Daphnia pulex: one gene and its partner. The protein of the gene in region 1 interacts with the protein of each later gene in a pairwise test. Links are inferred from orthologs where the notes say so. Each region holds a gene or a part of one and is shown in the gene's direction. Other genes may lie near its edges.

The links.
Region 2: the proteins of cleavage and polyadenylation specificity factor subunit 5-like (region 1) and 60S acidic ribosomal protein P1-like interact in a two-hybrid assay, tested with the Homo sapiens proteins (2 studies listed by BioGRID and IntAct). The link is inferred for Daphnia pulex from reciprocal best matches to the Homo sapiens genes NUDT21 and RPLP1.

The regions. Positions count from the first base shown.
Region 1 is NC_060020.1:7,574,986-7,591,277, reverse strand, and holds cleavage and polyadenylation specificity factor subunit 5-like, read left to right. Parts: upstream 1-9,495; 5' UTR 9,496-9,624; coding exon 9,625-9,755; intron 9,756-9,889; coding exon 9,890-10,090; intron 10,091-10,148; coding exon 10,149-10,212; intron 10,213-10,264; coding exon 10,265-10,430; intron 10,431-10,517; coding exon 10,518-10,632; intron 10,633-10,691; coding exon 10,692-10,713; 3' UTR 10,714-10,918; downstream 10,919-16,292. UniProt on the Homo sapiens protein: Component of the cleavage factor Im (CFIm) complex that functions as an activator of the pre-mRNA 3'-end cleavage and polyadenylation processing required for the maturation of pre-mRNA into functional mRNAs.
Region 2 is NC_060024.1:495,620-512,083, reverse strand, and holds 60S acidic ribosomal protein P1-like, read left to right. Parts: upstream 1-9,344; 5' UTR 9,345-10,227; coding exon 10,228-10,305; intron 10,306-10,432; coding exon 10,433-10,595; intron 10,596-10,782; coding exon 10,783-10,875; intron 10,876-10,938; coding exon 10,939-10,952; 3' UTR 10,953-11,034; downstream 11,035-16,464. Other genes in the region: 40S ribosomal protein S18, read left to right, coding at 6,525-6,527, 6,688-6,873, 6,936-7,037, 7,093-7,184, 7,250-7,325; endophilin-B1-like, read right to left, coding at 7,450-7,572, 7,631-7,846, 7,905-8,018, 8,074-8,175, 8,239-8,363, 8,426-8,554, 8,634-8,775, 8,850-8,912; uncharacterized protein LOC124201206, read left to right, coding at 12,816-13,009, 13,104-13,350, 13,415-13,528; centromere protein I-like, read right to left, coding at 14,861-14,938, 15,051-15,130, 15,213-15,333, 15,399-15,540, 15,607-15,731, 15,790-15,926, 15,986-16,058, 16,125-16,231 and 1 more. UniProt on the Homo sapiens protein: Plays an important role in the elongation step of protein synthesis.

The DNA.
Region 1 (16,292 bases):
AGTTGTTTTAGAAGCACTCAGTTTGTTTAAAATTACATACATTACTAAAATTAAAAAGGAGGCGGAAAAAAATTAATTAGCAATCAGGGTCATCATTCATTTCTCATCTTCTTTCATACTCCTCAGTAAAAACTCGTATCCACCTGATTCCTCAAAAAAAGGAGTTTGGCCTCCGTTTTCGGCATGGAAATTATCTATAGACACATTATAACTAACTATCTATAGACACTCAGATTAACACTTTTAGGGCAGGGACGATGTCCAGAGAGCTTCTACAATTCTTCTTCTAAGTAAAAATTTTGACGGATGCCCAGGTAGCACACAGACTCTGGTTCAGGTCTGTTACAGATCTGTTTTTGAGAGTCTGTAAATTGTTTGGAGTGAAACACTTTTACAGACTGTCATACAGGTCTGTGACAGATCCGTAAAACGGGATCACCATTTACAGACCAAAAACAGATTTTCAAGAAAAAAATAATTTGCCTCCCTGTGGTATCGAACCATCAACCTTTGTATTCACAAGCCAGTGCGCTAACCACTACACCATAATTCGATAATAATTAACAGATATATTTCATATTTATCTATATTTCACAGTTTTACACTTGTACATTCAACAAACAGTCTGACATGTCTCTCTCACGAAACTGATTGCTACCTATGACTACCACTGGTCTCTTCCGATAGTAACAAGACCAAGATTGGCCCCACACCAATTACAAGTCTTTATTATACCTATTTACGTGATACTTCTCCGTCCGGTGGATAAACAACTATTGTTGTTGTTCGAAACGAGTAGGCTTCTGAACTAAACTCATAGCCATTAGCCCTGCATTGACTATTAGAGTGTAACTTCTTACTGCATGGTATTGCAGTGATATTACACATATAAGAAAACGTTTAATTCAGTTTTCCATTGGGAATCCAAACATGTACCATACTTGGGATACAGACACAGATAAGATGATTACTGACTTATAGGTGTTACAAGGGAAATATAGACCCGTGCATACCTGGGGCACAAATACAGAACAGATAATCACTGAACTAAGTTTTACATAGAAAATACAGACCTGTAACATACCTGGGGTACAGACTCAGAACAAATTATTACTGACTTATGTCTTACAAGGGAAATACAGACCCGTACCAGACCTGGAGTACAGACACAGAACAGAAACATATTGTACTCGGTAATACAGAGTAAAAACATGCATGTGACATACCTGTAATACAGAAGAAAAACAGAATGTCTTTCTACAGAGTAAAAACAGACAAGTGACAAACATGGGAAACAGAGCTAAATCAGAAACAATTTTCTCAAGTAAAAGACAGATCTGTAACAGGTCTGTAGTACAGTTAAAAACCAGATTTATGTATTACAGAAAGATAACAGATCTGTTCCAGATCTGTGAAACAAACTTTAACCAAATCCTGTAAAACAGAGCAATTCCAGACAAATTTCCTGTAAAACAGAGATGTAACAAGCCTGATACGGATCTGTTTCACAAGTATGTGAAACAGATCGGTTACAGGAGTCTGTAACAGCTCTGTGTGCTACCTGGGTGTTTTGATATACCGTTATTGTCCTTTCCCATGCAAATATCATAGAACTTCGAAGGGCGAACACAATTTATAGTGATGGTAATGGGCAGGGAGGGCTTAAAAATAGTTGGTTGGAACGAAAGCTTGGAGAGTCAAAAACATAATTCACCAAAGAAAGACATAACTGTTGACTATATGGACTAACGGCATTAGCAATGACAGAAGGACGAATGTTCTCATCTACCGACATCTGCAACTTATCTTATAATAAAATCCTTGACCGTAGAGAACATGTAATTTGTCTTTCATTACCTTTATTTTTCTCTTTAGTAATTTTTCCATTTCTTCTTTTGCTTTCTTTACTTGCTCAAGCTCTACTTTTAGCAACATATTTTCTTTTCTCCATAATGAAATTACATGATTTGTTTGTGAACAATGAATGTGGTTTGCAACAGCTTCACTCTTCCTTTTTACGTCCTGAGTACGCCACGCAGGACAGGAAGGGAGAAGGTATTTGCAGTTGTGACGTGCTGTGAAGGAGGGAGAGGGTAATACTGACAGGCAATATAATTGAAAACGTAACTAAATAGCCATTGTCAGTTCAATATTGATGATTTTTCTCTTGAAGGCTGATGTGGAATAGTTGTTCTTATTCAAGGCAACACGCTGATGTCACCCATCTGCCTTTGACTGCCGTTGACCACTCGTGGACCTTCAAAATGTTTTTTTTTAACATTCCATCGATCCATATTGATTTAGAAACAAATGTCTCGAATGTATCGCCATCCACGTTAAACATGATGGTAACGATGAAATAATCAGAAGTATACTAATCCATTGGCATCGGAATCTTTATAACTGTCTGGACGTTTTGTTGGGTTTTGTCAAAATGTCCCTTTACTGCTTGTTTCATCAAACTTAAAACCAGTACGGTGATAATGGGTTTTTTAATCAACTTTTAAAGTTCATCCCCAGAAAAGAACTACACTAAAGATGCACCATCGCTTCAAAAAAATTTAGTTAAGGTTCATCAAAAGACATTAATGAAAAACCACTAATAATTCAAAAGGAGGTGATAAAATAAAGAAAGTACTTTCTAGATACATGGAGAGACTAAAGCAATTGAATCCATTATTACTTAAATTTTTTTGAATGCTTTGAAATTAACTACTAGCTACGTAACTATACTTTAGTTTACAACATTTAAAATTCATTTAGATGATAAAAAGTGTTATGATCCGGTATGTTAGAGAAGGCCGGATTCTAGGAGGGGGAAAATAAATAAAAGTTGACGTAAGTCAACGTGGAGTGGACAACGGAGAGTGGTAATCGCGATGGAAGGGGAAAGACAAAGTTATTGCGGAGCATGACGGCAAAAAGGACGGTCAAGGGAAGAGAGTGGTGATACCTGGCTTGTGAGCTGAATGGACAGAGTGTAACAATGTGATGGACTATTTCAAATAATTTTTGGAATTTCTGTAGACCATACTATGAATGGAAATTCATGCTGCTGTGGCATTGTGTTATGTTTGTGGTACATAATGTAATTAAAGCAATTTTAAATTTATTTTATTAATTCAATAAAGTGGACTCCATGTGGGCATAGTTTAGAAAAACTTTAAATGTGGGGTATTACAGAGATGATTTCACTGAGTTGGGTGTATTTTATATGCTTTTTTATTGATTTCCCTAATATTTAAATAACATAGTTTATTTGAAAATTAATAGTTTTTGAATGTCTTCCACAGTTATTTTCGATATTTATCTCAATAAATTCTACAATCCTCCTTAATATTTAAATACTAAAATCAATTGGAAAATTTGTTTTTTTGAATTTCTCTAATATTTTGCAGAAAAGCCTTTTTCATTAAAAGCCCTCATATTTAGAAATTATAATTTCTAATGATGATTTTATTTGAAAGTGTTATGGTTTCAAAACTTCTTCGTCACTTATTCTCGCGAAATTAAAATTCTTAAACTATGCTTAGAGCTTCAACTTAAGTATTAAAAAAGAAATACGGCATTTAAATATTCAAGAGATGTTTATTATTTCCCTGATGTTTAATTGCCATAATTTACTTGAAGAGTTACTGTTTTATATTCTGCAATGATTGCCGAGAATGTCATCTTTTCATTAATTTTTCTAATATTTTATTATCACAGTTATTTGAAAGCTATTATTTTTGTATGTTATCATTGTTGAGAAACCATGAATCTCCTGTAATGCTACGAGCACCACGTAAATCACCTAAAAGAAACAATGGTAACATCCAGGATGATGCGGGATGTATCCGATCATTTGTACTCCCCTGGCAGTAACCACTCTTGAGATGCAAATAAAAATTATATCAGTACATGATAGCAAGAAATATAGAACTCCCTCGGGCGTTGAAACCTCTTTATCTTACAACCAGGAGATTCAGTAAAATTTATGAATTGATTGACAATGAAGTCCTGACGTCTCTGACCAATAACTTCATCAAATTATATCACTTATTTTCAACCCTTAAGCCATAAAAACACATACATTTTATCAATGCAATTTTAAAGTCAACAGCTTACAAGGCTCAGATATAGTTAAAACATATGTCCCAGATGAAAAAAGATAAGCCACTGCTACCATAACAGTTCTCCAGTTCTAAAATAAATTTCTTTTTTCACTTATCTCATTCGAAAAATAATTTTCTGTTGCTTTCAGTCTACCTCTTTTCACTTAAGTATTTGTCATTAGTAACTTCAGTGTAAATTACTTGCAATATCTCATTATCGGCCCACGGCCAGTGACAGTTTATGGAAAAACCAACTTTCTGTTTTTTTTGTCTCCTTTAGCAGAAGAATTTCGTTCGTAGAGTGGTCGATTCTTCTAGAAACGTCTAAAAACGTCTCCTACAGGAGACGAACAAAGGGATACAGTCATCAAAAAAATTATTAAAAATTAACCAGATTGAATTGGGGATAGAAATAAAAATTAGTTAATAAAGAAATGAATGAAGTATTCACTGTTAGGAAGAAAAAGGGGGAAATCAGAGTCATAGATAAGAAAACAATTTTTTTAGCAAGAAGAATTTGATTTTCCCATAAGACGCTGTAGGCGACACAGACCAACTTGGACAGAAATGAAATTTTCGCATTTGCGGAGAAATCGCAACGCAGAATGTCCAACTGCCCCATAATAGAAAACCAAGGGACAACGAAATTTTCTAACCAAGTACCGGTTACATTAATCGATATTGCAATATTGCACATAATAAAGGCTCGCGATGGCTAAAATAGGTAAAAATTTAAATAGATTAAGAGTGCTAGTAAAAACGCTACGGCGGGTTAGATTAGGAGTTTTCATTGCCACTAGATGTCGTTACGCGAAAGACTGGTGAATGTACAGGGATAGTTTTCACGTCTGTACAACTTTTCTAGCTCTTTCTTAAAATGCTACTAACTTATTTACAACGAAATCAATATCAATGGGAATTAACCTATGGGCTGCAATATGAAATGGCTAATCGATTAAACTATAAACATCAACGAAAAAACAATTATTCGAAACGTAGCGAGGGTCCCCCAATTCCTCATGCATAACATAAAAAACAAATGACAAACGACAGCCGCCTTAGCCATCTCTAAACAAACACAAGTTAAAAATGGACAAACCAACCTTTCATCACAAAATATACCCTATACCATACAGTTTTACATGGAAAATCCAACTGTAGAATAGTTCACCCAAAAAACAAAGACTCGAGGCACAGGAGGGTCCCTAAATCCACCAACCTGCCACCAACCAATCACAGCCCGACTTTCACGAACAAAATTTGAATTTCGATCAAACAAATAAATATATAAAATTGAATAAAAAACCAACATGTTTCAATTTTGGAAACATTGGAACGAAGATGAATACGGCGAATCACATAAAAAATTACTGAAAATCGAGAAAATGACCCGTTTACACGCTGGAACCCCTGGGGAAACAATCAACAGTTTGGGGCCCATAACCAAGGCATAGCCTTCCATCTTTTACCAAGGTTAAATCTCTCAGGGAAAATTTGGTATATTAAATTTAAAAATTACAACAAATGCAATATATTATATAAAAAACCGATTGACTTTATTAACAAATTTATATTTTCTTTTGAAAAAAAAACAAGTTCATCGTGAAACAAAAGTGGTACAAACGGTATTCCATAAAAGTATTTGTTGTGAATTCAGAGATATCTGCGTAAAGAAAATAAAAGGTATGAAGGAGGGTTAAGGTACATATAAACTGTGGTAATTGTGACATGCATTTCCAAATGAAGGTACTGGTGACGAAGGTTCTTAAAAAAATGAGGTACTAATGACATGACCCCTATCAGAGAATCTCTTCAGAAGAAATGTTTGAATGGGATCAAGGGGGACGATTTTGTTAGGCTTTGAAAAATTAGAGACAGAAAATAAGCAAAAATAACAGAAGTGAACTCAGCAAAAATTCAGGAAGTCATTGGTAGCTCCAGATGCAAAGCTGGTGCTAAGTTGTTCTTCTTAGCTCTACAGGGAGTTGGTAATTTCTCATATCTATATTTCATACAACAATTGAGTATTTATTGATTCGTTTATTTTTTTATTTAGGTCTCTTTATGTGCTTCACGCGATATGAAGAACTAAAGGAATTCTCTGGAGCCAATAAGCAAACGCTGGCCAATTGGCCATTTCCACAAACCTGGCCACATACTTGGACTCCGAGGAAAGTTGGCTTATGTTTCGCATTATTCTGGTAAGTTTCATGGTCGTCATTGTCTTAATGCTCATATTTTGGCGCAATTACATTCGTGGGGCTATTGTCCTCATCGACAAAGCCAAAAGCCAGCCAGTACATTGAATTAACAGTTAATTGGCAATTCTTCATCGTTTTTTAATAACTTTTTTTGTGATTTTGTTTTAGGACTGTTGGTAGTCTAACAATCTTCCCTATCTTCCCTTGGGTCTTCCAAGTTCTTTGCATTGGGTATTTTGGGTCAGTTTCACTCTAAGTGGCCTCGATCGGTATTTCATCGTTCTAGGTGGTGGGTCTTGAAACTGGCTTTACCCATTACTTGGTGACGTTCCTCCAGTTTTACAACATTTTTGGTCTGGTATGGGTTCTATCCTTCGGTTCCGTCATGTCTGAAATGGCATTGGCCGGTGCCTTTGCCTCCTAGGACTTCAACACACCCACAGACAAGCCGTTGTACGGCTTGTTTTCAGCATTAAGAATTCTCTAGTATTTTCAAATTTCATTCGTCTGTATTTGTTTCTCATCATCAATCAAAGGTTTGTTTTTTAAATTATTTTTGTGGCAGCTTCAATATTGGGACAGCCACTTTAAGAACTTTGTTTGCCCTTTTTCGGCCCATTTACATGTTGCTTGAATGAGTCAAACAAAGAGAAGGCTTTCACGCAGATGACTGTCTGTCATCCCTTAAAGTGTTTTTCCTAGTATTCGAATCACTGCTTTATTTGTCCGTTTAGATATTTAAGCAAATGCTGTTCCTGGTAATATATATTTATGTATTCAGTAAATTAATTAATTCCTTAAAAATATTTTGGTTTTCATTTCAGGTTGGTGGACAAATTTCTACTTTTTGGCAACAGACAAGTTCCTATCCTGTGCGCCGTTGATGGCACCGATTTTGGCCAATCGGCTGAAAAGGCAGAGTCACTAAGTCCACGCAACGTCACTCGATTGAAGACAATTACAGCAATTTTGTTTTTTATCGGCCAACTTGGCATTGGCACCGCCGTGGGAATTGGATGTTTCTAGATCTTCACTTATGGTCATTTTCTTCTTGTTCTATAAATCTAAAAAAAAATCATTAATGAAAACAAGGAATTCCATCACACTCATCTTTCTCTTAAGTGATAACTAGGCCGCCTCTGGCCGACGTGCCTCAGCATCTAGATGTAAACGCTGCTAACAAGATGAAAGCTACCCAGCAAAAGGTAAAGACAATTATGGTTGATTGTCATGTTAAATAGTGTAACGGATGTCTCACGCTTATCATGTAGATCCGCTGACCCATGTAATATCAGCACTAATTAGCCTATCATATAGATCCGCCGACCCATGTACCGGCACATATTAGCCTATCATATAGATCCGCCCAACCCAGCATAAAAGGGTCCGGCAAAGAGCTCCTCGCTCTCAGTCTCTGTATTCAACGTTTATCGTGACTTACAATACACGTCTTCAATCCTATTCACCGCCTTGTTACAATAGTATTAATACTTTTTTATTGGTGAAACAGACAGTAGCAATTGCGAAGTTGGTCCCTAACAATTTGAAAGTTCTTGAAGACAAAGAGAATCGAGAGGAAAGGTCCAAGTCTCTCAAGGTGGAGCAATTGCAGGAGGAGATATATCAAAAGAATCTTAAAATAGAAAAGCAGCAGATAGAAATCGACAAGTTGCGAGATCAAGTTTCGGAATATCGGACATACTACAAACGCGAATGTAAAATTTAGTTTGATTTTTTTAAAATTCCTAATTTAATCCATTTTTTTATGAATAGTAATTGAAAAGGCACGCATTCTTGGAAAAATGGAAAAGTACGACAGGGAGAAGGCTAAATTGGAAGCTAAGGCTAAGGTAAATATAACCACTCCTTTTATTACAACGTAATCTTAACTCATTTTTCTTTTTCTCAGACGCAGAAGAAAAGACATGACACAGAGTAGTGTTAGGTTGTAATCCGGGTAGTTAATTTAAGTAAATTAACGGAGTGTATTAAGCGAGGCGAAAGGAGCTTCTCTCTACGGACTCAGCCGAAACCAGACTGCCCTTCTTCCTGCTCGCTGCTTCCAAGCTTCAGCGCTTGAGCGCCGCACGACATCTAGCGGTCGCGGGAAGAAGGGCACAATAACACAACAAGTAGGAATTGAATAAGAATTTTCTGGTCATTACATTCATGGTTAGATCTATTGTCACGACATATGTCGTGGCGCGACGGTCAAAACTGTCTATTGTCACGACATCTGTCGTGGCAATAAAGAGAAAATTGTCTATCACATTTGATAATGGATCGAATTAAAAGACGAAAAATAGATTTTTGGTTATAGCGCTGGCATGATAATGAAGAGGGCCATGGTTCAAGTCTCATTATAGATTTACTTTTTTTTTAGAATAAAAATATTGTTTTGACCCATGCCCTTTGTTAACCATGACTCAGACAAATCAAAATTTTGCGGTAGAATTTTTTTTCACAAAATTTCATAGAAAGAACATTGAATTTATAGAAAAATTCTGATAAATTTGGAAGGCATTTAGCAAAAAGTCCGACTTAACAATAGGCCCTGAATTTTTCATTTAAGACAGTTTTCAACTGGCTTACGACTATCCCTTCGCGGCGAGCTGATAAGCTTGCTTTTCTATCTTTAAAATATATATATTCTTAAACTGTCCGAAAAAGCCCCTTCTGTGGGGTGAAACCGGACAAAAAGTCAGTGAAACTAAACCGTTAATATTTAAGCCATTTATTACTAAAAAACATTTTCAAAAGAAGTTTTTGAAAGAAGAAACCCTGGGCTACATTTTGGTGCCAAAACAAATACTTTTCTGAGCTTGCACTTAAAGAAATATTAACTATAAACCAGTTTGCTAAATTTTGTCCGGAATAGCCCCTCTTCCCCTACATCTATAACTCTGGTTTGGGAACGCGCGATATCGCTAGAGCAGAGCTATAGAATACTGGTAGCGCCACTGCCATGTTAACTCTTCCTCTCGGAAATTTTATCTGGGGCTGAAGCCAACTTTAGCAATCGATAGTGAAAATCGGAGATAATCGGAGCTAAGATATCGATCTCGCTCCTTGCCACTCCTCCACTTTTCCCTCCATTCCTATACCATGCCATGCGAATACCCTATTTCCCCACACACCCGCTGTGGTGCTTTTAGCTAAGGAGCAGGGCAGGCTTCAATTCCAGAGAAAAAAAGCAATGGAAGAGCTCGTCATATGAGTGGCGGTACCAGTATTCCATAGCTCTGGCTAAGAGAATAAAATTTCAGTTAAATTGCAACGTTGTCAATGCCAGTTTCTGTCAGTCTGCTGAATGCTACTATTGCTTTACCATGGCTTGCATACAATCCTGTACGAATCGCGTCGGTTGGCCTAAAAGTGAAATAAAAACCGAAATAAAAACTGAAATGTCAAACATGAAATTCAATCAGGGATCTTTGACGTTGCACAGAACTATCAATTTGTAAGTATTTTAACCTTTTATGGAAATAATGCCACATGAAGACAAAGAGCAACAATGTTTTGATTGAAAGAAAACAATGTTATTGAACTGCTATTTTCAAACACTTATTGACAGCAACATTCTCTTTATATTAGGTACCCTTTGTCAAACTACACATTTGGAACCAAAGATCCTTTATTTGAAAGAGATCCATCAGTTCCTGCACGATTTCAACGAATGAGGGAAGAATTTGATAAAGTTGGAATGAGACGAAGTGTAGAAGGCATCTTACTAGTTCATGAACATGGGCTACCTCATGTTTTGTTGTTACAGTTGGGAACCACTTTCTTTAAACTGTAAGAGTAATTTACAAAACATCACCTTTCATTTCTAATCTTCAACTTTTCTTCAAAGGCCAGGGGGAGAGTTAAACCCAGGAGAAGATGATATCGAAGGGTTGAAGAGACTACTAACAGAGGTATTTAAAGAAAAAAATTCACTAGTTTATTACTTTTTAACACCCTGTCTAGATTTTAGGAAGACAAGATGGTGTAGTGCAAGATTGGCTTATTGAAGATTCAGTCGGAAACTGGTGGCGTCCAAATTTTGAACCACCTCAATATCCATATATACCTCCACACATAACAAAACCAAAGGAGCATAAGAAACTTTTCTTGGTTCAGCTTCAAGAAAAAGGTATAAATAATTCTTTTCGTCTTGAGCAGTTTGGATATTTTAGTTATTTTAACCCTCTTAATGAACATGATATTTATTCTACATTAGCTCTCTTCGCAGTACCCAAAAATTACAAACTTGTTGCTGCACCCCTTTTTGAATTATACGACAATTCTCAGGGATATGGTCCCATCATATCCTCTCTTCCACAAACAATGAGCAGGTTAAAACTTTAATCACGGTATGATTTTCTTGGGATAATCATTAGACTTTGTTTGTCAGATTTGATTTCATATACATGTAAGGAAACTTCACAAGCCCAAGTTCTCTACACAGTCCAAAGGCGAGGGTTCTGCAAAATAGTCTCAACAATTTGCGTGTTTTTTTATTTGTGGCAGTGACTTTGACGCTTATCTAAGTGAAAGAAGAAACGAAGGCTCATTTAATTCGTTAATCGTCTTAATGTGCGGCTGAATTTGATTCATTCAATAAATGCTTATAAAAGCAAATCTCATTGTGTTCGCGACGCAAGTCGACCATTCAAGTTCAAGAAAATAAAAATTCTTTGTTAAAGGTATGGATGAAACGAAGTAATTCAAGTATATATTTAGTGTAACACTTGGTCGAAAGCCTTCAGACAGATTGGGTGGCTAACCTACTATAATCCTCTCAGACCCGAACGGGGAAAAAAAAGGCTTGACAGTACATTGACAAAGAAGAAGCGAAGTGAGGTCAAACAGTAACGAGAATCGACAGGGGGAAAAAATCAACTAATCTCCTTGTGGACGTGGATTATCAAATAATCCTTCGGCAATAATGAAGAACGTGACCAGTGCGTCGAACGAAGAAGGGGGGGGGGGAGTAAAGAGCAACCCGAGAACAAGCAGAGGGAAGGAGAGAATACGAAATTTAACTCTGGTCGTTGGTAATTACATCAGAACGTGACTCGTTACTCTCTCGATCCTCCACATCGCCCTAGCGACCTCAAAGTGCGCCGTTGAAAGAAGGGGAAGAAAATCGAATACAACAGAGGGAGGTCTGAGAGGTGGTGAAAAAGGAACGATAAAGAATAGATGGACGAAATAAACCTCCCGTCAAACCCAGAATTTCAACAAGGTAAGTGATTTCGTTTCGCTGTTGTTCCCAATCGTGACAACTGAGGCAGACTTTATTTGAATATTCTCTCGCCGGAAATAAGACTTTTCTTTTTCTCCCATCTTCATCCCCAGCGTTCCTGGACCGAGCCTCAGCTACTGTCGCCCCGTTCAAAAATCCCATTTGATTTAGTTTTATTCTTGTTATTTACTTTCATGCCTATTACACACCGTCGTCCCATTTTCACAAGGCGGTCGCAGCGTCGTTTTCCGGCTGATATTTTCGGGCCGATAGCAAAAAAAAACGATTTTCTATCCTCTCTTTCTGTAGTCATCGGCTGCCGAGTCCGAGCGACAGCAGAAGCGCTAGATTGGCTTTATGCTAATGCGTCCCCGTTAAATGGCGTGGCGGGGAGAGAGCGCCGTAGATGCTCCGATACCAAAAAAGCCGCATAGGATCTGCATGAAGCGGCGGAAGAAGCGCAACTACTGAAGCGCTGCACTCACGAGAGGGGAAGAATAAGTAAAGAAAGAAAGAAAGAAAAAGAAAAGAAAAGGGAGAGCGCGTGCTGGCGAGCGAACGAACGGAAAAGAGAGCCAGAGATGGGTGCTTCCCCGTACAACATTACCCTATGAATGAGTTTCCTTAATGCCTTCCTTGCTTGTCCGAATTGATGGGTTCGTCTAGCTCTACCCCCCTCCTTTTTTTATTTATTATCATTTTCTTGGCGTTTTCAACTTTTTCTCGTCTCTCCATCGGCTATTGATATGGAGAGGAGATGTCGCTTAACGGCTTTTACACGCATCAGAGCAGGCGAGAGTTGCATGGGATATTATCCGAGGTCGAAGGCCAGGTGTCCGTTATGCGCCACAAGAAGAAGAAATAAAGGGCCTAGCTCTCTGGCTCTCCTTTAAAGAATAGAGAAAAAGGGAAATACTTGTATTACGTAGCATACTATATGTAGTGGAGGCGGCGGCGGCGGCGGCCGTTTCTTTCTTTTGCCAAAGGTTGCGTGGAGATTGGATTTGGTGAATCTACCTCGTTTGGCCTTCTTCTCCTTTTGATAAAAGCTGGGACTGTTGTTGAGATGCTAAACCTGGTCTTGATCGAAAGGTTTTGATACGAACTCGACAAGAGGTAATAAGGTCTCGTTTCACAGTCGAAATATATGGGCAGAAAAAGAGTCGAGAGGCGGAAAAGCTAAAGATGAAGGAGAAAAGACAATTTCATTTCCTTTCGGGGGGGAGGAGGGGGGCTGGCCTCTCGCCGGGCAAAATGGAAATGGTGATTCGTTTTTACTCGGCTGCTGACTCTCTTTTCTCTCTGTGTGTCTTTATAATACCTGTTGCCTCTTTTCTATAGATCTTTCGAGAGCCCCCCCAGCTCTAGCGCTCCATTTTCGTTCAACCTGTTGTTAACGCGCACGGCCAACTTCTCGGACTATAAAAAGGGACGATATATGATAAAGTGGGAGGGAACTTGGAAGACTCTATAGTAGTTTGTTCTGTTGGAAAAGTGGCAAATAGAGACAAAGAGATGTGTGCGGCCGCCGTCCTTACTGGAGACTTGGAGAGACGATAAAGAAACAGGATGGGAAGGGGAAAAAAAAACAAAAAAAACAAAAAGAAGATGAAAATATACAAGGAACCAACTGGTTGGGTACGGTAGGAACGGCGTCGTAGTTGTCGCAGAGTTGGACCCAAGTTTAAGGTAAGGAGTTGTGTGAGGGAGTAAGACAAAGAGAAGCAGCAGGCCGGAGACTCTCCAACTTTCCCTTTTGCTGGACCATCATCATCTCTAGATGAACGACTTTAGGCCCGTGTCCCCTTGCAAACTTGAACTCTTGGCTGATGGCTAATTGCTTTGCAGCAGGTCGAGGACTCTGGTTGAAACCGAATTGAGTCTCCATACGTGGACTTGTACTATACTACGACTCAATAGAGTCTCTCTCTCTCTCTCTGCTCTATATTCTCAACCTCTCTTCCTCCCCCACTCTACTCTTTCTCTCTATATCTCGGTCCGTCCGCCTGACTTGGCAATCTCAAAGAGAGCTCGAGCAAAGTGGGCGAACCTGTTCCTGGCTCCTGTTGGGTTTGGTTTCATCGTAAGATGAGATTTGACCGAATCGAGCGTGTACGCTAATCGAACCGCACTCGGTATAGGCCTTCCCAACTTCTTCTCGAAGGTCACCACCCTCCGTCTCTCCTATTTCTCCTGGAAGTAAAAAAATTGGGTAAAAAAAATGTCTTTCCTACTATATTCAGACTTTTTTATACCATCGACTTGCGTGTTTTTTTTTCTTCTTCTTCTTCTTTTTTCCCCCCTCTTGGGCTATCCGCCTTTTCCTCCCTCATTTCTCCTTTGCTTCCATTTCTATTGGCTCCTGCCCCTAAGGTAGTCGAATACACTGCACACACATATAAGGGACGACGCCGTATAGGACGGCGCCGGTGGTTGGCAAAGGCGGCGGCGACGGATGAGATTGTTAGTCGCATCCCTCGAGCGATTGAACCGCCTTCGTGCGTAATTATATTTCGCTCTTACATGCAGACGTCAATGCCGAATAGAGAGACCGAGAGAGAGAGACGACGTATGTATGTACTACTACTGTATGTACGTGCATTCGTTGTAACATATCAAAATGTAGGCTACTATCCAACAAGGGATGCTAGCCGAGAGAGAAAATATCTATATTACAGCTCCTGTATATACACACGCACACACTGCGCCTTCTATATATACTTGTACACATTCATGTGTAATGGATGTCGTCGATCTACGCCCCGAGTCAGATTGAATTGCCTTTTCTTCCGATCGATCCCAATGCATTTTCTCGCTCTCCTCCTCATCTTCCACCGCCACCTACACCTCCCCCTCGTAACAGGACTCTATACCGGCTACCATCAACAACTGCATGTACGCCGAGAGTTGGGAAATAGAGAAAAAAAATATAACCTTGGCATCCATATCATCATCATAATAATAAAGTTCATCACGGGTAGTCGGGTACGTTGGATCGAAGCCGAAAAATCGCTAGGCATCGAAAAAGATTTTCTGATTCGGCCGCGGTTTCTTTTCTTGGCCACGCCGATGAGAGGCGCAACCAAGCGGCGTTGTTCGACGCTGATGAGCGGCGACCGACCGAGACCGAAGAGGAGGACTCAGCCAGTCGTGAGAAATTCTCGGGGTATATATCTTGGAGCTCCCGCGTGTGTGTGTGTGTGTGTGTGTGGTGGCCCAGCAGGATCATTAGGGCCGTTGTCTGCCAACAATCTGATTAGGTGCGTGTCGTGTAGAGCGGGGGGAGAGAGATGCTGGGGGAAGGAGAAGAAGAAGTCAACCCTCTCTTGATTCCCGCACGCCTGATGCTGCACAACAGCTCGCTCTTTCTCTTTCAGTCGCTTCACTGAACGCGCAGCCAAAGACAAAGCAGATAAGACCCTATCCCCCCTCCCCTGTATCTTCCGCGTCTAGTAACAAAACAAAAACCCGGCGGAGATGAAATAAGATCATAAAAGAAAATGAAAAAAAAAAAAGAAAGGAAAGGAGGGGAAAGTAATCAGAATCGATAGTACTATATAGTGGCGGCAAAATCAAATTCTGTTGCTGGCGTAGCGCTTGGCTGCCGCATGCCAGCCAGGCGCGATTTAAAGTGGACGACGAGGCGCGTTCTATTCTCTACTCCTCTTATCCAAAGACCGCTTAGATATGCATCTTTCTCTGCTAGAGAGAAGAGTAAGAAGCCGTCGAGTCTCGCCATCAGAATGGGCCTGTTCAACCCACCGTCACATCAAAACATCAAAGTCAGCGTTTATACTGTTGGAGAGAAGATTGCCATGACGCCAGCGAAAGCCGGCAACACAACAATACGTCAGTCGCCAGATATTCTCTCGCCAGTCGTCCGTCCTCGCTTTACGCGACTGCTGAATCATCATCGCTGGCTGCGGATGTGTATTGTGTTGCCAACGCCGAGAAACCGATCATCAAGGTGTCGTCCAATTAAATTCAACCCACTGACGCCGGCGCCATCAGCGCGGATGATCGAATGCCGCCCGTGTGACGCAAGAGCACTGATTTGGCACGGCTGTGAAAAATATCACGCGGCCGTTCTTCTCTTTCACCGCGAGGCCCCAATATCTTCCGTCTCGAAGCGTCGCTAAATCGCGCTGACAAAAAATGTTGCCCAATGACGGGAAAAATTCTTGATAATGACGCGCCCACGAAATTATCTTCTTCTGACTCTTTTTCAAGTCCCATTTTTGGGGGAGGTCGTTCTCTTTATAGTCCGCATTTAATGCGACCATGCCCGAAAAATTCACGATTTCAAAGATGTAGTACCGGTATAGTGCCTTGCATTATTTGGCAATGTACCAGCAATTCTTTTTTTCAGTTTTTGGGGTCGTGTCCTTTTTGCTGGTCCGAGTGCCATCAGTGGGCAGAGATGGGGGCGACAACGCGTTCTCTTTTCCTAGACGTGGAAGGAGCGTCGTCCAGCTTGTTGTGACAGGAAAAGTTTCATCAGATATGGCCACTGTTCGAATACGGGGTGGGGACGGCTGCACTGGCATCTATTTTGATAGAGAGAGATTGCCGGCCCATACATCAGAATTCCCGGTATAGAAAGAGAGATCTATAGTGTGTCTATTTGGATTGGGCTAAAGTTTTTTGGAAACAAGACAACGAATCGATAAAGCTCATTTGATATCGATTCGGATATGTCGGGTTTGATACGGTTCCCTCGACAACAGGTTCTCGTCCCTACTACACACTCGGCTGTAACGAAGAAAA
Region 2 (16,464 bases), on another chromosome or scaffold:
GAGATACCACAAATGGTTTTTCTTGCACATTGTAGAACATCATAGTGCAACAAAACCGTTTTTTACTCTGTGTTCTGTTGACTCATGCAACAATCGAGCATTCACCGTGTATTCTACCTTCCGTCGGCATTGGTATTTGTGTCATCATAATCGAGGACCAAATCCACCTCTCCAAAATCATGGTATATTTAGTTTAATACATCTACTACGAAGCTATATTGCCTGGCACTTGAATACGGTGATTTTGTGATTATGCTTTATGCACCATGTGACTTGAATATTTTTTTTTCTTATAGAACTGCTGGACGCAGATTTTAACTGTGAAACTGATTCAGTTGAGAATGATGCTGTTGCACTACAACCAGCAAATGAAGATGAAGAAGTTTCCGTGACAGATGCAACTATAACTGGACCGGCTATTTCAATAGAAATCTTCACGGCTGGTTTTCTTCTTGCCCTCAGACATGAGCATTTTCTAAGCTTTGAAACTGTTGCCTTCGTCCAAAGAAATATTGACGAGATTTTTGCGAGGCGGTTAACAGAATTTGAGGTAACTTATATAGTCTTGCACTAGCGTTGTGCCACATTTATTGCTGACGACGCATTTGTAATTTTTTTAAATCTACTTATTAAGCATAAATTGGCTTTGTTGATGCCTTCGTCAACGAGACCTAAACCTGGATATAAACAGGCCATGGCGGAAATCAAGGCCCCAATCTACAAAACACACAGCAAAATGGAGTGATGCTGGGCAAGAAACTTCCCTACAACTCTTCCGCTTTGTGTTTCGCTCGGTTCCTCTTGCGCGGAGTATCACTGGAAGCGCATCGCAGATGGCACATTACAAATTGGACACAATCAAGATAAAGGTTACATCATTCCATTTTTAAAATCACTCCAACAATTGTTGTCCGTTAAGTCTGTGTACGATGCCACTCTCAACAGCTTTGAACGTATTAAAGTGACTGGAGACAAAGGAGTCTACTCTGATGTATGGGATGGGAGCTATGTAAAAACCCACAAACTTTTTATACGATTGAATGGGGTAGTACTGGGCTTTCAATTGTATTGGGACGAGGTTGAACCAGCCAATCCGCTCGGAAGCAAGAAAGGGGAGCAAAAAGTTGGCGTTTTTTTACTGGAGTTTGATGAATCTTCCTCCTACTTCTAAGTCAACCTTGCGTAGCATACAACTACTCGGCGTAGTAAACAGTTCTCTTCTTAAAAAACACGGTATGATTAATTTCGGAGACCGGTATTGAAAGACCTCGCAGATTTGCAAATGGGCGTTAAACTGTTGATTAGAAATGAAGAGCGGGAATGGCATGGGTTTCTTACAAACTGCGTCGGAGATATGCCAGCAAGTAATAAAATGGCCGGATTTAAAGAGAGTGTCAGTTGTGCTGAAAGTCCTTGCCGAATGTGTCACATAAAAAAGGAACAGATGGACTTGGTCCATCATGAACATGACTGTAGATTGCGAGATGTACTAAGCTATAAAACTCAAGTGGAGGAAATCGAAGTTGCTGAAAACGTAAAAGACATAGAAGAGCTCTCGAAAGTATATGGCATCAACGAACAATCGTGTCTTTCGTCTTTACATAGCTTCGATGCAACCAAAGCTTTTCCTAGTGATTATATGCACCTTTCTGACGAGGGATTCCTGAACTTGGAACTGAAACTCTTACTGAGAGTTTTGATTGCGGAAAAGAGGAAAGATCTTGACCAAGTAAACTGCTATTTATCTGTATTGAAATCGCAAAGGCAATTTACTACTCCCCCTAAAATCAAATTTGATGAAGTAATGAGCGACGGCAAATTATCATTTTCCGTTCCTTAAATGTCTTCACTGTCAATTATGATCCCCCTATCTCTTGCGCAATATGTGACTTGCGATGAAAGCCCACAGTATACAAACTATATCCTTCTATTGCGCATATGTGCATCTCTTCAGTGTTACACCTTTACCGAGGATCAGCTAAAGATCACTCAGTTAGACATAGAGAGTCATAACTCCGCTTTTGTTGTACTATATCCCAAGATTTCTGGCTATTCAATTACCCCCAAACTTCATTATTTGCTCCATTTCATTTCCCAGATTAAGTTGCACGGGCCACCGCGATACTCTTATTCTTGTTATAGATACGAATCCAAAAATTCTCCACTAAAAAAAGTTATGCGACGGATTTGTAATTATAAGAATGTTGAGTTTTCGTTGGCCTTCAACCACCAACAACTCCTTGGCCTTGCAATAAAATCTGAGGGGGAGGCGGAATTTTTCTGTGGCGGAAAAGATTTCCAATTTTTGGCTTTTTATAAATATAAAAAGCAAACAGTTCAAGGTTGTCGGCGTGGTTCTCTGTATTCCCCCCCTGCCTTGCTTAGTCGAAATAAATTTGTTATTTCATCTGTAAAGACCTTGAAAGTATCTGGCAGACTCTGTCAGAAAGGATCTGTGTTTCTTAAAGCAATAGAAAATTCCATGCCTGTCTTTTGGAGATTATCAACTGTGTTGATTCTAATCTAGACAACGATAAAGAATTCATTTTCGAAAATTTGATGACTCTCTATTTTTCCGATGACCACCTCTCATTTGTTGTAAAACCGAGTGAAACTTTTTGTGCTATCTCTCAGTTTTCTTCTTTGTTATTCAATTGTCCACTGCAGACAGTGTTGTGACGATCGCAATCGTTCGATCGCGCGATCATGATCGCGATCATTTTTCCGTGATCGCGACCGCGATCGTGATCCAAACAGAAAAACACGATCGGGATCGGGATCGAAGGCCAAAAATAGGACTGCAGAGACTGCAAAGACTGCAGTCTGCAGTCTTTTGTATTGCAAAATAATATTTCACGTTACACCCAAACTATTACAACATGTTGTAGGTGTATGTTTTCAATGAATTGAACTAATAAACATGACATTATACCTGAAAACTATTTCAACGGCACTCAAACCCATATTTCAGTTGCTCATTTCTCTACGTTACTGTGGTTATGAAGCGTACGTTCTATGCACATATAATCCACGTTTTCATCGACAATACAAAAGCGCGCAATATTGTTGAAAGGATTGGAAATACCATAGCCCCAACTACTGATCGTTTAAGTGCAGCTACACTTAGACTCCTTGACGCATTTTCATACTTAGAGCAATTTTTCATACTTGTTTCATAAAAAGGAGTAATCAAGTAAGTGAATACTTAAAATAGTAAGTGTTTTGCAGGTTTGTTAAGTGAATTTTCACAAACAAGTGGCGTGGGCCACTGAACTACTTAGTTTTTCAGTGTCAAACCGCCGCTGTGTGGCTGACCGATCGAAAGATGTGACCCATTTGGTCAGTGAGTCAGTTTAAAACGTCAACAAGTTTTCATCTCACTGTCTCATCAAAGAAAGAGGATGCTGAGAAAAAAATCGGGAATGTCATTGACCCATCTATATATAGCTGGGAGATGTTACTACGGATCACTGGTCAAATCTATCGTCTTCTCTCAAATCTTAAGAAGAAAGACGCATCGCGGAAATCATGGAATCTCCAGCCTCTAAATGCCTTGCACTTGAACTTGAACCTTATCTGAAACTACTCGATGGCATATAACCGCTTTGAACGGCAGCTGAAAAATGTTTGAGGGGTGAGACCGTTAGGGGTCAGAAGAAAACTCACTTTGAAACACAACTAATAAACGCATCAACACAAGGTCTTAGGTGAGCAAATTTTCATACAATTGATGAGAGTAGCGCATTTTAACGACATAACATTCGATCAAATAACGCTTAAAGTACCATTGTTTTGTTATTTTTGGAGAACAGAAAGTTTGAAATCAATTGGGGAAGTACACGGAGCGATAAAGATATGTTTTGAGAAAAGAGTGGAAGGTCTTGTGGTCGTTGATATATTTGATGGCCATGGGCAAAACGAGACAAGACAACTGGCGACAAATCGGCCTTAGACGTCTTTCTATTCTTTGTAAACAAATTGAGTATGCATACAATTTGTCGACTTCAATTTATGTTTGCAAACTCCACTAAAAGATCGCTGTAACGCATTTTGGCTGGAAGCTGCGATAAGACTTACTACTGAATCATTGAAATGCTTGTCAATGTTGTTTATTGTCTTGTACAGTACCTACCAGAATTTTGGAAGCGCTCGAGAGAAAATTATGTAAAAAGTCGAATATCGCGGTGTTCCCAAAAATCGGGTTTTTGACGGAGGGCATTGAATGTTTTTTAGTATAGCTATAATAGTTGGCTACTTCTGGAATTGTTTTCGAATTTTTATAACTAAGGGAAGGGCAGCCAAAAATGGATGTACAGTATCCTACAAAAAAATCCGAACGGCGATTTTTTTGTTTTGAGCCACCTATCCATATATCGGGAAACTGTGTTTGGCTTTTTTACATAAAATCAAAAAAAAACTAATTGTATTCCTAGAAAATAAAAAATGTTATCTGGCATAATTTGTTCCAGACCTAAAAAAAACATTGGGCCATTCCCATTCCATGGTATTTTTTTTATTTTTTTTGTCGCGGTACCTCACCGATTATGATGAAAAAAAAATACTGTGTTGAAAGTCATGGTTGTACATAATACTGTGAAAATTTAAAATTTTTTGGATCAGTGGTTGAGCGTGTTGTTCCAAATTTCCGGTTTTTTACGGAAGCGCAATGCGGAATTTTTACTAAAACATAAATAAAACAGCGGCAGATTGAGTAATTGAGATCGGACAAAAACAAAAAAAAATATTTAAAAAAATTAAATTTTTTGGTTTTCGTCTTCGTCGAGTTGGATTAGTCATAGTAAGGTTACGCAATCTTCATTTAAAGAAGAAAACTTTAATGGCTAATATTGCCATTCTCGAACGGCGAAGCGGGTCGCGACTTACGCCATTCGATAGCCCGTCTTCATTTAAACTTATCATGGATAAAATTTTCCTCCTTCCAATCTTGGTGTTTTAGTTTTATGAATAATACCCGAAGGGTTTTTAATCACTCACGTTTTTATTTTTTGCTGGCATGGGTGGGTTTAGTACTCGATTGCACACTAGATGGCTATAGTTTTGGCGATTGTCACTAGATGGTAATCAAGCGAAAATACAAAAATTAATTTTAATTGTTGAAGGATACGTGTAAGTGCAAAAAGCGCCACTTCGATTTCGAAAAGATGATTAGTCTGCATAGAGAACTACGCATGGATTTCAATTGCGCCATTAGTCAGGCAATTAAAATTTTTTGTCATTTGGCATTAAGAAACAACATGACCATTGTTTTTTATGAATGAATCTAGTTTTTAATGAAAAAAAAATCGCAAACATCCCTTCGGGTGCCTTGCTAACGCAGGTAATTGACAATTTAATTTGTTCGATAACCCTATCTTTTAACACAGGGGACATCGCACCTTACACTTCTCCCAGAGGAAGCGCGCGCATCGTTTACAGCTACCCTAGGTGTAGAAATAAGGATATCGAACAAATATAAATAATTGAAGATAAAGTCGGCAAAAAATCGTTTACTGTATTCACTAAATCCGAACAATTAAACTGAATTCGACATTATTATCGACTTATCCACTCTCTGTTACAATGTGCTTTTATCATTTCAATTTGTTTTTATTAAGACACTTTTAGCACCAGCGAAGTTTTTTACCGAAGTTATAATTATAATTCATGATGGAATTAATATTTTTAAGGGGGTTTAACATAATAACTTTTTTAAATTTCATTAATTTATTAAAATTAAATTAATGGAAAAATGCTATTTGGAATTCGTTTGGGTTGACCCCTTTTCTTTAATGTCGCGTCGTTTTCTCGTTCGTCGACTAGAATCCATTGACTGTCCTGGAGGGAAGAATCAAAAGTCCCATCCCTGTGTCCCTGGTCCCTAATTAAAGGAAAGAAGCATGAACTGAATATTTCAAACGTACCAAATTCAAGAGTTGTGCTGAATTGTTCTCCAACATAAATTACATGAAAAGGAAAATGATAATAAAATACACAAGCTTTAGGTTTTCTAAACATTGAATTAAATCTCTAGCGATCTATAATTCCATTATTTCATCCAATCCATAGGACTTAACTTGTATGTTTACTTTTTTCCTTTCACTAGTTTCAGGATTGAAATCAAAATGCACAACCCGGATTTTGTTTCAATTCGTTTCGCTCACGGCAGAGATCTACTACTCTACTCGCGGACTGCGCGGATTTTTTTATTCAAAGATTTCACTTTCAAACTGCGACCTTCGCCATCTAGCAATCAGGGGTACCCCTGTAGCAATAGTAAATAAATACGTGATTCCGTTGTAGTTGGCGCCACAAGTTCAAGTGTAGGAATCTTAAAAATGTAATTCCCTTGTTTTAAACTGGTGTATGCCGTCTGGCCTCCGCCGTAGCGATGGCGTACCGACTCAAAACATTAATCTGGCAGCGTCGCATTTAACATTTCTTTCATTTCGTGTGCAGCTTCAGCTTGCAATTCTTTCCATTTTCCTGGCAAGTTGGTCTACGGATTACACTAACATCCTTTCGCCATGGTAAGCATTTTCATTTGACTAAATCTTTGACATCGTTAGTTTTGAATAGTTATAAAGTAATGCAGGTTGTTGTACGGTATTTTTCTCTACTTTTGTCCTACGATTTGTTGGTATAGTAAATAATATTCTCTTTGTTTTTAATGTGTTATGTTACTTGAAGTCGCTGGTACTCCCTGAGAAGTTTCAACACATTTTGCGTATTCTCAACACCAATATCGATGGTAAAATCAAGATCATGTTTGCCGTCACCTCAATTAAAGGTGTTGGTAGACGTTACGCCAATGTCGTTCTCAAGAAAGCCGACATCGACTTGACTAAACGTGCCGGTGAACTGTCAGAGGAAGAGGTATATTTAATTATCCAATTAAGAATTTACAGGCGTTTAAAGTATTACCAACTTACATTCAGGTCGAGAAATTGATCACAATTATGGCCAACCCTAGACAGTACAAGATCCCTGATTGGTTCCTTAACAGGCAAAAGGACATCAAGGATGGCAAATTCTCTCAGGTAACTTGCCCATTTGTGCTTTGCATTTGGATTGTGTATCATTGTTTTTTCTTAGGTCACTTCCAACATGCTTGAGAACAAGCTTCGTGAGGACCTTGAAAGATTGAAGAAGATTCGCGCTCACCGTGGTCTACGTCATTACTGGGGGTATACTTTTTTCATTATTTTATCATTCATATTTCATTGTTTTGACAAAACATTATGCATTTTAGCCTCCGAGTTCGTGGTCAACATACGAAAACTACTGGTCGTCGTGGACGCACAGTTGGTGTCTCGAAAAAGAAGTAAACAAAATCTGTATTCGAGTACATTTCTGTGGAATCTTGTTAACAGGAAATACATTTCATGGAATTCAAATTTTATATTAATTTATTTAGCTTTTAATATTAAGTGAACATTAAAATTGAATATATCATGAACTATGAGATTGATCAATAAATTCCAAGTAACTTGAAGGGATTTTTCCTGCTTGGTGTCCTCTTTCCGCTTGTACATAATCTGGGTCATTGGGAATAGTGCTTACAACATCAATAACCTAATATTAAAAATGATAATATTATATTATATTCGAATTTAACGTAATTCATAAATACCTCTCCCGCAATAAGTGATAACTCGGTAATATCTTGACTGTCGTAATCACAGATAACGCGAGCTTTCCTACGTTCAGATAATCCAGGTGTACTAGGATTATTAAATGTGATATCAGAGGTGCTAACTTGCAAGCTAAGAGCACCCAATTCTTTTTGTAATTGTTGAAGAGTTGCACTGCAGGCTAGAAAATAACGTGCTTGGGCGGCTGCAAAATCCTGGATGGATCAATGTCGTAAATACAGTATTTTAAAATTATTACACATTTTCTCCTACTTGTAGATGTTTACAGTGAGAAGTATGAGCAGGTCCAATTCCCTCAAGTAACAGCCTAGTTACCTCAGACTGACGGTCAAATTCTATCTGGGCAAAATTTACCTCTTGTTCAGCCTAGGTGATACATTTTTCATAAAAACATGTTTAAGATATTATTAAATTTTAGTACCATTTGTCGACTAGACTGTGTCTTTGATTTTCGAAGGCGATTTTTTGCAGCATCCAAATCCAGGCGCTTAGATTCAAGTAACTTTCTTTCTCTTAATATTGACTATCAGAAAGATGTTTAATAAACTCCTGGTTCAACACAATACCAGTGGACCTTTAAACTTACTTTCAAATCACTTTCCATAAACTTTTTCAAAGGATCAACAAAGGCTTGAGTTGCAGAAGTAGCAAAATCACGTTCAAGAGCACCCAGTTTCTGCTGACAAAGTCCAACTTTCAGCAGAGTACTACCTACAATATTTACAATATATATCAATAAAATGGGAAAATAATTAAATGTGTTGAAATCTAACCATATAAAGTCCCAGGCCCTAGATCATTGCCAGCCTCAACCATGTCTACTCCTAAATAATCCAAATTGGACAGACGTGCTAATCTTCTTCTTTCAATTTTATCCATTAAAAAGTCTTCTACTCTATTCCCTAGAATTCAAATTAATTGTGCGAATGTTTAAAAAAAAAGGGAAATTAAAAGAAAATAAAGACTTTGGAATATTCATACCTGGGTTAGGCGTGAGCACAGAATCAACATCCCTAACTAATTTCTCAGTCCATGACTTTGTTAAATCACATCTTTGAGAAAGATTTTCAAAGTGAGCATCTAACTCAGTCTTTTCAGATGTACCTAACTTTTCTTCAGTAAACTGAAAAGTACATAAACAAAACCAGGCATAATGTTACATAACCTATTAACAGTCTTAAAGTGACAGAAAAATACCTGAACCGCTCGTGTAAACAAAGTTCCAGCATCTCCTACAAGTTTTTTAACATTGAATTCCATTGTAGTTTTTTTTTTTCTTAGTAACAAAAACTGAACTATAGATATTCGTTGTACTTCGATTGTCACTCAGTTTCTCAAACGCGCTACTTTATGCCGTTTGAGAATATCAGAATAATATTTCACTGGCTTGCAAGTTGCAACAAGTGGTTTTCAACTTTTCACTTTTCAGTGTTTGCGTGCTGATTTGCCGAAGTCCTCCTCAAATTTAGGACACCTAGCGGTTTCAAGAATCGTGTTATAAGTTATAACTACAATGCTGGCTACTAGCTACTAGGTCTTAATAACAGAGTTACGCGGTTACTTTTTCAATTCGACATGTCACTCTATTTGCATTATGATGTTTTGAGTTTAATTGAATTTTGAAAATCCAATTTGCTTCATTCAAATGGCAATTTATTTATTTTAAAACCAAAGGGTAAGAAACGGGAAAATTCGCTTTCCCGTACAATATTTCATTGATTTACCTGTAGGAACAAACGAAAGAGCTTAAATAAAAGCGAAATCTTGGACAATCAGAAAAAGCCATATACCTTTATAATCTCTAGTTGAAAAAATCTGGTGGTTTTTCTTTTCTATATGACTTGTCCTATGCGTAATCAGCTCTGGTAATCGCGTATTATTTATAAAAAGTTGAAAACATACGTTCGAACAAACACTGCCAGTTAATAATGAAATGGATATAGCTGTGAGTGTTTTTTTTTTCAATTATTACTCTTTAAATTTCAATCAGAAACCAGATTTTAAAAAGTAAAATATGCAATAGAGAATATTCACTAATTGATTCAAATTCAATTTTATTTTATTTGATAGAAAATTACAAAAAAATATACAAAATCTTTATATAGTACGCAAATCGTTTGCTAACGCCAGAGCATCACGATTGTATCCCTAGTCTTTTTCTTTTCTTATTTGCGTGACGGTCGGCAGTTACGATTACTACCTGGTACCTACCATGACGAGCATGAGATTTGTAATTCCCGCTCTAAAATTTACAGAAATGCAATTTTAATCGACAAAATTTGATTTACTTAATTAGTTTCAATAAAATATAATTTTTTTTTAATATTTATAAACATGTTTATAAATGTTTAACTTCGAAGAAGGAAAAAGTTTTGCAATTGTTAAAACTCGTTTCGGTTACCTACTGTTTACTCAACTTCCCTGCGAAACTTGCGACGTTTGCCACCAGACGTCCTGCTCATAGGAAAATAGCTTCGTTCAGTTCCATTCTTTTGCTTGTCCTCGTTTCGAGCTAAGGCCTTCCTTGTGGCGACTTGCATTTATCTGTTAACATCCGTTCAGAAACTTCATCGAAATGGCTGATCAAAGCAGAGACGAATTGGCTTGTGTCTACGCTGCTCTCGTTCTTTTGGACGATGATGTAGCCATCACGGTAAATATATTTTTTCACACTGTTAATTATCCTTGTACCGGAACATGTCAAGATGGTTGAGGTGACTGGGCTGTTCTGTATCGGAGTTCTGCACATGTTGGTAACTTCAATTTTTATTAAACTGTAGGCTGAAAAGATCCAAACGATCTTGAAAGCTGCCGATGTTAAGGTAGAACCATACTGGCCTGGTTTGTTCGCTAAGGCTTTGGATGGTCTTAACCTTAAGAGCATGATCACCAACGTCGGCTCAGGAGTTGGTGCCGCCCCAGCAGCTGGAGCTGCTGCCGCAGGTAATACTAGTTTGATATCACGCTGTCAATAGATGTTAATTTTAAAATGATGATAAACGGATGGTTCGCTAAATAATCGTATGAAATTACTGTGATTTCAAAACTCCTTGCAGTCTGAAGCCTCTTCATCATATATCTTATTTGTGCTTGTTAATGTGGTACTGTAACAAATATGTTTATTTCATAGCCCCTGCTGCTGCCGCCCCAGCAGCCAAAGAGGAAAAGAAGGAGGAGAAGAAGAAGGAAGAGTCCGAAGAGGAGGATGATGACATGGGCTTTGGTATGTTACTTACAATCTCTAAAAATTTGCACACCAATCTAACCATTTTTTTTTTCATTGTAGGTTTGTTTGACTAAAGGGAATTCAATCCACTTCTGTTTTGTGTCAAGTCATGGGCCAATTTTGTGTCTTGTGCAAATACATCAGGAGTTCCATAAATCTGTCTTGCTTCGTTGTATGGTTTCTATCCAAAATGGTCTGTTCTTACCTTAATATCGAACTAATGGCAGTTAGACGATTTTCTATGACTGGATCATGGATTAGGGTATTTTAGTTGATCAGTCATACCATTAACTCTTGGGTTGAACGAAGCGTCTTCATTAGTTTTACACGTTTCTTGCCGTCTTATTAACTGATATGCAAATTGTAGACTGATTGTAAACATGAGTTTAGATAGAAATGTCGGTAGTCTCATTTGGATTCGAGGAAAGTTGTCCATGCTGATCAAACTGAAAAAGAATATTGTTTTTCCAGCTGCATGTGGTTCTGATGTTCATTCAAAGTCGATAATTTCGAATATATTTCATGTCTTGGATTAGAGCAAAAACCACAGATAAAGTAAGATCGTAACATAAAGCTTTATAGTTTTTAATATGCAAAAATTTGTAGACATGTTTTAACAAACGACGCTAAAAATTCGTTACAGTCTAGACAACACCGGGTTTTGCATGGAACGTGTCAACGTGACAAAGTTACTTGTCACAAGTCTCAGACGGCCATCAGAGTTGTAAAGGAACTAGTCGGTGAGGGTGATGGTAGCACCCTATCTGACGATAATATTAGAGAAGAAAGTTTTGGATGATTCTGGAACTGATTTGCATTGACACTTTCATGGTTATTTCATTTAAACAAAGCCGGGACAGGACGTCAACCAGTAAACAAACAATCCCTGTGAGCTCAATAAGAACCAAACAAAAGGAAGATTAGAAACGTTACTTCTTCACGTTCACACAAGTTCTTCATTACGATTAGCATTTCGGGTTGTGGCGAGTTGCGAAAGGGATTAAATCCGACAGAATTCAGTACACTGGAGACAGAAAGGTGCGATGCCTGCAAAACTTACACATTTTTTAAAAAAACAAACCTGAATTACGACGATGAAGGCAGTAATATAAAAATGTCACCTATATATATTATTGCCTTCAAGATATAACGGATATTACAAACCGCGTGCGTCGATGAAGAAGGTATAGCAACACCAGCCAATTTGAGGAAATGTTATTTTGTTTCATCTCGTATTAATACAGGCAATCGTAAAGCGCTCGAACTCGGCAACGACAGGCCTTCACGGACAAGTCAAAGATTCCCAGCGGCCAAAGCCAAAGTTTGAAATTGGTTACCATATACATTCTCAGTGTGTATTCCAATGAAACGTGCCGCGCGCAGCAAGGGAGCGGAATATTGCTTTAGATTTATGTAAAATCCAAATAATGTCGCCTCACTAAATAGTTTCTAAGGTACAAGTAGAACCTATCAGTAAAATAAGCAGTTGCTTCAAATGGACTGATGGTTGTTTTAAGGGGACTTTGGTCGCCTGATTTGAACCATGAATTTGCAGATCATGTTCCTGTTGTAAGTAGCGTGATGGAGATTAAGTCAGGTACGGTATTGGAAGCATGGCCAAAGTTTGGGGTATTAGTTATGTATAATGTTATTAATGAAAAATGTTATGAAGGCGGAAAATTGTCAGCTTTTTACATTAGTTACGGTCGTGATACGGAATTATTGAAAACACAATTTGTCACGTGTTGCTGGTGTGTGTTTTTAATATGCGTTCATGACATGTTACGGCTAGGAAAGTAGGAATACAGGTGAATGGATACACACTCAAGCTTACAGCAGTTAGAGTGAGTTTCCCTTCGAGTCAAGTCGCGCTCGTTAATAAGGTGCCAGTGAAACTGTAATTGTAATTCAACCGTCGTTCTACGGAGGATATCAGAATGAGCAACGAACACTCCGATCTTAAATTTTCTCGATCTTCTTCAAGCCTCGATCATAATAACGTCTTGCTGATGAATCAGGGATCATTAGTCGCCGCAAATGAAGATCATTCAGCTGACGTTGTGGCTTCACCAGTCCATCCAATAATGGATCCCAACGAGAATCCGACTGATAACTCGATGACAGCAACAGCGTAAGAGAAACACATTTGACATCATTTTCTTCGGCAATTTTTCAGAACGTCTGTAGTATAAAAATATGTGTGTGCTTAAATTGGAATTTTACAGATTGGTGCTTGGTTTGGGATCAGCTGTGCTCTTTCTTTTGTTAGTGGTCTACGTCGTTGTGAAAGTTCATTTTTGTAAAAAACAAACATCGAAGAAAAAAATGTCAACTCCAAGCCACGAGACAATAATAAAGAGTTCACCTCTTCCAACTGTTTCATCTATTATTCAAAATCAAAATACATTTTCCTTAAACAATGACTCGACTTCACATTCAGTTGACAATGCAAATCAGCAATCAGGACTGGATGTATGTTTACTGTGATTTTCTGTTTTAAATTCCTATAAAATAATTGTTTTTACCATCTCCACAGATCTATCGGATTCACTCGTTAGGGTTCAGTAGCCAATCTCCTCCTGAACCAACGCTAACGGATAATGCGACTCAGGCTCGTTTGACCGGAGCTAGATTTTTGCCGGGAAATTAACCAACGACAATATAAACGAACGTTTCAAGATTATGATGACAACAATTAAACATGCATTTTTAGTAAACGCTGTGTAAATAGTTACAATTTATTTCCGTGTCGGTAAAAATGGTTTACTAATCTACTTCTAGTGCTAAGTACTATGTTAAAGGGTTTGAAAGAAACGTTATATTTAAACATATGAGTACGGCTAAATTTTGTAATCTTATCTTATCATTCTTAGAAGCAAAAAATAGTTATTTTTCCATTAATTAATAGAAGTAGTTTTAAAACCTTAGTAAACATTGCTAACGTTTCTAGTGTCCACTTCACATTCATTCATTATTCATAAACGGATTGGGGAAAAACACGCGACTCAAATTTTTTTTTTGTCGTTTTACAGGATGTAAGCCAACATAATTTTCTCACACAAGGAAAAATTTACAAAATTTTGAATAAAATACTACCGTGAGTTTCCTCATAATGTAATAGCTAAAACCTCATGAAACGCCTATTATTATTGAGGCCTTTCAGGTTTGATCCACTACTGCGCAATCGGATTCTGCAGAAGTTAATTTATACATTAGTCAAAATGTTTATTTACATAACAATCATAACGTTTTCACTTTTTTGAGAAAATCTGTTCAAGTTATCAGGTGACAAATGATGGTTCGTGAAATGTGTAGGAAGGAAAAATGAGACCGGTGCGCTCATTACGTAATCCATAATATCGTGATCTATAGTTTTAACAGATTGTAATTCACTGAATTTCACAACAAAGACAAAGGAAAGACAAGGGCGACATAAATGATAATGAATATTCAACGACAGCAACGGCTTACATAATAATTAACTGAGCTTACGGTCGATTACAGTTTTCCGTATTCTTTGGGCATATATATAATTTTTTTACTAAGAATAAAAAGCCCGACGGCTTTTTCCCGTTTGAATGGTGTTATTTGCTTAGTATTTAATTTTGACAAATGCAATTTAAACGGGAGAGGAAAACCAAAATTTTAATTAACTTCAGATGAGGTTACGTTCAGTTCTGACTACAGACTTTGGCACTCGCTAGCACGATGTTTGTTTTTTGTTTAAGCAACGGTGTTTCATGTAGGGAAACCGATTGCCTTCCACACTAGTTTCTTTAACCGAAAAACGATGTGCGTATCGCTCATAAAGGATGTATAGTCTGAAAAAATACATTTTTTACTGCTAAAATTTGACTAAAGAAGAATAAAACAGAAATTTTTAACTTGAGCAAATTTTATTGAAGTACTGTGCTTATAAAATTCTCAAGAAATTGAAGAATCTTAGACGAAGAATATTCTGTTACATTTCATTTTCACAATGTCAAGTGCTGTTATGGAACTGTTGTATATAGTCCATTATTGCAGTATAACGACCCAACAAGTATCGAGTGTAATCATCCTGAAAAAAAAATTTAATATCAAATTAATCTTAATAGTTGTTTTTATCTTTTTTTGTGTTTTTTTTTTTTTTTTTTGTTTGTTTGTTTATTCAAAATTATGAGAGAACTAACCAAATCGGCATCAACTTCTTCAAAGAGCTTCAAAGACTTTTCATTTCCAGATTTAGACTTGAGCCATCGACGGGAAATACCTACGTCAAACAACGCATAAATTAAAATACGGGAGTAAATTAAATTAGTATTAAGATTAAGCACGAAAAATCAATGACTCACCAGTAAATGCAGGATGTCTTTCCAAAACAAAAGATGACTGGAAAGAACCCAAGTTGGACAGTTTTTTCAGGTTTCTCCGGGGTAATAGCGCTAACATCGAATTTCCGCCTGGTGCAAAGGCCTGCCGAGAAAACATATAAATATTCAAAATGATACATGATGAAGAAAAGCATGTCAAAATGGAACCTTGTGATAAACTAAACATCTCGATATATCGATAATATAACGGTTCAATCTGGCAGCTTCCTCCAACGAATCTTGATGAAATTCTCCCAATTCGGGAAGTGGAGACATAGCGATCAGTTGATTTCGCCCTAATTCACCGTACCTTTATTTCAAGAAATTCCAGTTAATAAATATCTTTATTAGCTTGAAAAATAAAAGAATTAATTACTTGCACATAAGTTTGCATACAAGTGAAACGGTCACTGGAGCCGGTGAAAACAAGGCCATATAAACGGCAATAGGTTGACAGAAGGTCCGGAATGGCAATTTAAACTCCGATTCCAGATCAATAAGCTGCGCATCAGATTTGTTAGATGATGTTATTTTAACTGGACTTCAAAAAGTAGCTTACCCATAAATGAAACAAAAGGGAATTTAAGACAAGTGAAGAATCGGAGGAAGACGTTAAGGCCGTATTGAAAAGACGTTCGGTAAAACGTATAACTTCGTTGATGACGTAGGTACCTTCCACTAACTTCAAAATCTCATCTAAAGTATCGGATATTTGTTAGCAGGTGGTTAAATAAAAAAGCTAATACATGAACTACCTGGTGAAACTGTTTTTTCCGATTTCTGGAATAATAATTTGGCTTTTTTAACAGACCCAAATTGTTGAAGTAGCTACAAAAAAATGTCTTTAAGTTTCATTTCAATGCATGAGCTGTAAAAGAAACAACAGTTACATACCAAATTATGAATGAGCTTTCGACATACATCGATGATTTTTAATCGATGTGATGTATCACAGGAGTGAAACAAACCCTCCAAAACTTGCAAGAAATTTCCATAAAGATCTGAATTAGGAAAAAAATTTCAATCTTACTGCAAATATTCGAATTAACTTAATGATTAAAACAAACCAGGGTATGAGAGAAAAGGAATTTGCGCCAAAAGTTGAAAAATTTGATCACGGAATTGAATTCCATCCCAAGTTTGGAGATATAACGATAGGAATTTATAAACGACCTTAAAGAAAAAGAATTTCACATAATTTCTTAAAGTTTAAGGAAAAGAGAATTAATGATAC